2 linked regions of the Rattus norvegicus genome follow. The protein of the gene in region 2 purifies or fractionates together with the protein of the main gene of each other region. This does not show direct contact. Links are inferred from orthologs where the notes say so. Each region holds a gene or a part of one and is shown on either strand. Other genes may lie near its edges. The genes, in order: Tes and Ctnna1.

What was found.
Region 1: the proteins of Ctnna1 (region 2) and Tes purify together in Homo sapiens (affinity purification with mass spectrometry; 3 studies listed by BioGRID and IntAct, with this or other methods). This does not show direct contact. The link is inferred for Rattus norvegicus from reciprocal best matches to the Homo sapiens genes CTNNA1 and TES.

What each region holds. Positions count from the first base shown.
Region 1 is NC_086022.1:46,365,439-46,369,264, forward strand, and holds part of Tes (testin), read left to right. Parts: intron 1-3,119; coding exon 3,120-3,308; 3' UTR 3,309-3,826. UniProt on the Homo sapiens protein: Scaffold protein that may play a role in cell adhesion, cell spreading and in the reorganization of the actin cytoskeleton. Plays a role in the regulation of cell proliferation. May act as a tumor suppressor. Inhibits tumor cell growth.
Region 2 is NC_086036.1:27,058,057-27,061,882, reverse strand, and holds part of Ctnna1 (catenin alpha-1), read right to left. Parts: intron 1,054-3,826; coding exon 778-1,053; intron 1-777. UniProt on the Homo sapiens protein: Associates with the cytoplasmic domain of a variety of cadherins. The association of catenins to cadherins produces a complex which is linked to the actin filament network, and which seems to be of primary importance for cadherins cell-adhesion properties.

The sequences.
Region 1 (3,826 bases), on a different chromosome or scaffold from region 2:
TTCCATTTCTGCCTCTTACGTCACAAAAGTGAGAAGCCAAGAGCCAGCCCCTACAAAGAAAGCAAGTGCTTCCTTCGTAGACTCTATAAATCTAGGCAGTTCCAGAGCCCTAAATGCACTGACTACCCAAGATGGCTCGTCCTGTCTGGGCATTTGCCATATAGATTATATATGATGCTTGGCAATAATGTTTTAACTTAGAAACATTACTTAATAGGAATGGATTTATTCTTATCACCGCAGATCAGATTCCATTTAAAGTGGTTTCCGGGGGCCTTACCATTGGCTCATCAGTTAAGAGAGCTTGTTGCACTTCCGGGGGGCCTGGGTTCTATTCTAAGCACCTACGTGGCAGCTCACAGTCATCCGTACCTCCATTCCTACGGGGTCTTTTGGCCTCTTCAGGCACCAGGGACACACATGTTACATGGCCATGTATGCAGGCAAAACACCCATACATGTAAATACTAAAATAAATAGATCTTTTAAAAAAAATGGTTTCACTACATGCTGCTAATCCACCCATGAGGCCCTTGACTTGCTATCTAGAGATTGCTGAGTGACTGTTTCCAAACATTTGTGGAACTGATCGAATACAGAGGAAATTGGCCTGTATATTTAGGTTGCCGTGTGGGACATTCAGGTGCTTAATGTGAGAGCATATTTTTATGACATCCATTGTGTTCCACAGAGCGCCTGCTGCTGCATGCTGGCCAAGAGATGGTAACGTAGATACACGGTGAAAAGATGACCATATATAGTCAGCTTATAAGCCTTCCTGGCTGATAATATCAGAAGGATGGGCTCCAGCGTTTTCTTAGTTTAAAGTTCCCTAAGCTATCGCATAGGGGAAACTCCTAGGAGAGGGGGAAAACAGTACCTGTGTATAGTTCTAAGAGTCCAGTACGTCTACAGAGAAATAAGCTTAGCTGTGTGCCCGTCTTCCGTCTTGACGCACTGCCTAATATTAAAACGAGCTGTCTTTATCTCACCAGTGCCGAAACAATGGGCTGCACATTATTTAATTCACTGTGTTAATCTGTGCAAAGATTTTGATATATATAAAAGAAGTGAAAGAGAAAACATGTTTAGACCCGGAGAAATGTCCTCAATCTAATCAGGGCATTTATGAGGTAAAAATCACCCGGAAGGAGGAGTGAGATGGGAAGAAACCCAGTTTGTCCCCATGTGCACACCAGACTCCCACTGGCCACCCAGGATTCGCATCTGTAAGGCTCTCAGGGTCCTCCAGCCAGAGAGCCCATGACGACACAGCATTATCTACCTCACATCCTGTGTTCAAATAAAAGAAAGCAGGAGGGATGGAAGGAACTGGCTCTTTGAGCTGTGTGAGGACTATTTCACAGGCAGTGCACTGCCAGGCACATTGCGATGAAAGGTATAGTCCCCAGGCAGGCCCTCTGTGGCATGTAGCTTTGAGCTTTGTGGATAAGCAAGGATCTGCTGGTGTTAGCTGGAGTCATATGTAAGATTCCTAGACGAATGGTGACCCACTGCAGTTGTGAAGCTAAACTGTATGGAACCATAAACCCTAAATGCAACACCATGCCATTTGTGTATCCGTGTGATTCTTTCTGACCTAAAGACTCCCCTCAATTTCACGTGCAATTGAATAACTGGTTTGTCTTCTTTCTTATACTAAAAATGAAAAGGCCATGTTTCATCTAATAATAAAATGATCCACAAATAATGTTACAAAACAGAAAGTAAAAAAGGAAAGCAAAGGGGTCCTCTGTCACACAGTTCTAAAGTGTCGGAAGACTAATACGAAGTACAGAAAACCAGAACATTCTACGTGAGCTATCGCACTACAGAAATTCCATGCAAAAGCAACCATTTGCATGATGCGGCTGCAGATTCAGGGGGAACTTAGAGCTTCCACATTGAATATTATTTGTATTCAGGACACCTATCTGCATTATGCAAAGAATGTCTGTTTCCCAGCCAGGAGGTAGTTGTTAGACCTGTAGATAGAGTCTCTACAATAAGAAGGTACGTAGCTGTAAAATATACAAAAAGTATATTTCAGGTCTGCAGTGGCTGTGTGATGCAGGTCACCTCATTGTCCAACAATGGCCGTCCCACTGCAGTAATCCCCAACCAAGAGACAAGTGGTACTTAAGGTTGATCAGTGCCACATGGTATTCCCTCAGCTGTTGTAAAACCAAGATCTTAGATGTTTCTCATTTTATTCAGGTCATATATAAACAATGCAAATGACTCTCCTGCGTTGAAGCTTTCCGTGAGGTGGTTTTCTGTTGTAATATTAATGGCTGCTTCTCGTTCTCTTCATGTGTATCATCAGTTAAGAATATTACGCGTATGTTTACCTCATTAGTATATTGGAGTATAACATACCCAGGATACTGAATGGTGGGCTAGGAATATACCACCTCCGTCAGTACTGTCCTGACACAATGTGCATGGTGTCCTGGGTTTCCTGCACAGCACTACCTAAATCACCCGGTATCACAGCCCTCGGGAGGCGGAGGGAGGAGAAGTATCACGAAGTTAGGTCCGGCCGAATACCTTCTCCCAGACAAAACAAAACAAAGGGTGCTGCAGGGAAGGGAGGTATTAAAGTTCATGGCATAGATCACAGATAAACGATGACTAAACTTAGGACAGAACAGAAGCTGATTAACTACACGTTATATTTATGGTGTGAACCCCTCATTCGTTTTCAAATACTGTCTGTACTTTTATTCAAATCCTTAATTATTTTGAGCATGACTTTAGTTTACTACTCTCTTGAAATTGGTGGGTGTTAACAGTCACCTGTGTCAGTGTCCTAGGCATGACACATCCTAGTGATGTTACCACTTCAGAGCGTTAATGAGTGCGGGAAAACAGTCTTAGAGATTCCTTCTAATTGTTTCGGTGAAATCTACTAAAATTTGACTGGAAACAAGTGCGGTGCTTTGGGATTTGCCATCATAACTTCCTATTTACACCCTGAGGGACATCTACGGACCGCACTCCCACCCTGTCCGTCACCTGCCATTTCTCGGCACACTCAGCATACAGGGCCCCGTCGGCACAGTGTCTCACAAAGATGTCGCTGTCTCTAACCCTCTTCTCCATTCATCCCCGAGCAGGTGTGTCAAGGGTGCCACAATGCCATCGACCCGGAAGTGCAGCGAGTGACGTACAATAACTTCAGCTGGCACGCGTCCACGGAGTGCTTCCTCTGCTCCTGCTGCAGCAAGTGCCTGATCGGGCAGAAGTTCATGCCTGTGGAAGGGATGGTTTTCTGTTCTGTGGAGTGTAAGAAGATGATGTCCTGAGTGAACACCAAGCAGTATTGAGCCATAGCTGTCTACAGTGGCCTGCATTTCATGATAAACTGCAGTTTAAAAAAAAAATAAAAAATAAAAGGAAAAAAAAAAGCTACATAACGAACCGGAAGATTTTGTCCAATATTTTTCTCTTTTTAACCATTATGAATTTTGTCTGTCTTATTTTTAAATGACTGCTTTAAGCGCATGATTTAAAAAAAACAGTAAAGAATTATAGCTTTTATTTCTGCACATTAAATATTTGAGTTGGAAGCTTGAATTTAATCAATCCTTATAACCGCATACTCCTAGTGCTAGATATATTATATATATATATATATATAAAATCACTTAAAATTAGTGTCCTGGGAGAGATGAACATTTTAACTTCCATGCTTGTCCCCCATGGGAAATGTAAAGGAAGTTACAACCGCCTGTCGAGCGGTTTGATGATGGTGACGTCAGCTCAGTGAGGAGTTCCTTGTGGCAGGCAGTGTGGTCCACGTTGGGTGTTCCAGTGCCTAAGC
Region 2 (3,826 bases):
TCAAAACCGAAGAGAGTCATGATGACACATGGGGAGGCTGAGGCTAGCCTAGGCTACATAGTCAGACCCAGTTTAAAAAACAACTTAAACTGCTGCCATCTACTGGAGGCCACAACTCACTCTGGGTTAAAATTTATAGCAAGGTCCAACACATTAATTAATGTGAGAACAAAGGATAATAGATACACATCATATACACAGGAGAGATCTAGGGCACCGTTATGAAAGCATTATGCTAAAGAAAATTAAAACTAATTTCAAATCTATTTCAATGTGGTTAAACTTCTGTGCTCATGGCTCAAAGGAAATCACAAAAGCAGAAATCTACCTAGGCAGGCAGGTGAGATTAAGATGACAGCAGTATGATTTACCTACATCTCTCACTAGACCATGAGTTCCCCAGAGACAAAGCCTACTCACTTTGCTTCTGTACCTCTCACAGGTCCACATTTGTCAGATGGTAAAATCCTAGCTGGAATGAGCCAGACTCATAGCCTCAAGAAGAACCATATTAAAAGGAAAAAAATACTAGGCAAGGAAACACAAATCGCATAGAAGAATCCTAAAGTTTAGCCACACAAGGAGAGAGGGGAAAAAATGCTTTAAGCCAAGTTACAATAAAGTAAACTTATGACTCATAACAATTTCTTTCCACTTAGAGAACAAATTTAATTGGAAAATGGGCTTTCATCACAGTCTTGATCATATTTCCCCAGGAACCAGTTATCTTTTGGCAGTTGGTGAAGAGCCCAAACCTTCCTCCCAAATATTACTTACATCAAAGTTGTTGAGAGCATACGCCAGCTCTCCCCCGCCGCCGCCGCCACCCTGCTGCTGGGAGGCGTCATCTGATGCAGTAGCCTGGGCAGCATTAGAGATCCCCGTGACGGCCTGCTGCAGCTGCTTGTATATCAAGTCCCGGTTGGCCTTGTAGGCTGCTACATCGGGGTGCTGCAGGCATGCCTGGGATGCAGTGTAGAGGATGGGAACATTTTTCTGCAGGATTCCTCTAGCTGCAGCCATTTGATCACGATGGCCCACATCTTTCAGTTCCTGAAATAAAATAATCGAAAGGGTCTTTACAAGGTTTCTATTCATATCAAGACACATCTGCATTAATGTAGGCTGAAAGGTGATCACAACGGAGGTTACGTGGCTAAGTACGTAAGGACAGCTCTGCAGGCATGAGCCTTGACTTGAATCTCCTAGCTTACTTTTTCCTGGCCATCTACTGTATCCTCACTGTAAACTTTCGTGTTCAGTTTCTCCTTTTTCAAAACAGAAACAATATTATAGCTCTTTTAGCATTTTGAGGAATAAAATGAGATAACACATACAGAGCACCTAACACTAAATAAGGCATAAAATAAATGTTACAATGTAAAACTGCTTAACATCTTGATCAGGTCCATATAACTAGAATTCCAACCAAAGAGAAAGTCCACATAGACATATTTAAGTGGAAAACATGAGACTTTAAGTTATCTTAGTCCATTACAAGAATTTTATGAAATTGGTAACACAATACTACGTGTGTATGAACTTTGCAAACCAACTAGGTTAAGTATATGATCAGCTATTCTCCTAAGTATACAACACTTCCTCCCCATTTTCGTACCCCAAAGACCATTCTAGATTACAAAACTATGCTCTTCTCACAAAGTAAGAGCCACCAGTTTACTGGCCATTAAGTCACTAAATGGAGGAACATGTGCTCCATAATTGCAATTTATGATTATAAAATTCTGAGCTGTGGTCTCAAGTGAAAGATCCTTTATCATTTCTTCTACCCCATAATTATAAGAATATGAGACTGCTAATGTCATTGTAACTAGTGACATCTAGAACACTAAGAGGGATGGATGGGTTACGTATTAGTACACAAAAGACAAAGGAAACACTGGTAGCATCTAGTCCTCATTACTGAAACTTAAAAGACACAGGAGTCTTTGATAAATGTGGATCACTATTAGAGCGGAGGAATTACCCTACACTCAAAGTCTGCTCCAACAGTCCTTTACATGAAAACATAAAATTCCACTGTTAATATCACTAACAGAATATTAGAATACAGATATAAATCTTTTTAAGATTAGTATTACATGTATAAACTATGAAAAAATTAAGTAATGTAGAAAAGTCAGTTATTCAAAAAGTCTGAGTTAATTATTTAATGACTTTTTTAAAAAGATTTATTTATTTTTATTTATATGAGTACACTGTAGTTGTCTTCAGAAACACCAGAAGAGGGCATTGGATCCCATTATAGATGGTTGTGAGCCACCATGTGGTTGCTGGGAATTGAACTCAGGACCTCAGGAAGTGCTCTTAACCAATGAGCCATCTCTCCAGTTCTCGATGACTACTTTTATACAAGAAATATACACATACATACATATATACACACATACACATATATAATTTAATTTTTATCTTATGTCCATTAGTGTGAGGTGTCAGATCCCCTGTAACTAGAGTTATAGACAATTTTCAGTCTGAGTGCTGGGAATTGAACCCGGGTCATATGCAAGAGCAGCCAGTATTCTTACCTGCTGAGCCATCTCTCCAGCCCCCTAGATGACTTCTTAATAAAACATTAAAACACTGACCCATTTCTTTCTTCTGAAACGTAATCTCAGTATATAATTTGGGAGTTTACATCTTTATTCAAACCTTGTACAAAGACAGCTGCTTTTCTACCTAGAATTCTTTTCTCATTTAGCACCTGAATTTGCAGGTCATAGCTTACAACACACCAAATGCCCTGTAGCATGCTATGTTAGGCTACATATTCAGAAACGGGACCCTGTAGATTGGATGTGTGAGCAATTTCAAACTTAAGTTGGAACAAGGGGCTGTGGCTAACATTAAGCTTAAATATGGGGCACACATATTTTGTGGGCATTTTCTAATTATTTGCCTTTATCACCATGGCAAGGCCCCTTAAGCCTCCTATGACCATATCTGCCTTTAAGTATTTATACTATGCCTTGTTCTATAAAATGTTCTACAATAAGCCTCATTGTTGCTAAACACTCAAAAGATACATCAGCCCAGTCTCCAGCAAAGGCTGCCACAGATATTCATAATCACCTAAAGTTAACAGGTACCGAGTGAGTAGTCAATTTTCCTAGGTCACTGGGTAGTCTAGAGTCTAGTACAATAAACTTCTACTTTTCTAAAGACTACATTAGGCTAAGTACTCAGAGCCATCTATCCTGGCTTTAGAGAGTTAGGGATCATTTCAAGAATCAAGTACAACAAGCAATGTGGCTAGTCATGAGGTTCAAGTAACTGGAAAATATTTTCTATGTTAGCATTTTCTGAACAAACTCTCACTTGCCAAGCTTCTATGATGAGAATAACAAATAAGTCTCATTTATCCTAGGTGCTAAGGATAAATGCCACCCCCTCTTTAGAGCCACGTTTGTATTGGGTACTGGTATTGTAATAATAAATTAATGAAAAGGCATTCCTTTCAAGCTATATGATACTGATTAATAATCTAAATTTTGGTGAAAAGTGAGCTATAAAGCAACATAGCAAATTACTTAAGAGACTTTTGTTTTGGATTGACTCCACCTATCTATCATAGTCAAGCTAAGGACTAACAGAAAATATACATAGAGAGGAAAAACTAATTTTCATAAATCTGACGTATCATTCCATGCACTGGTGACTAAAATTAAAAAGCTAAGCTCCGAGTAATCTAACTCTACTAAGAACACTGGAAATCCAAGTGAAAGTTTCTTCTCATTTCCCTCTTAACATTACGAGAAGTGTAACCCCATGGTGACATTAGTGGCTTTGTAAGGTAAGGAAGAGT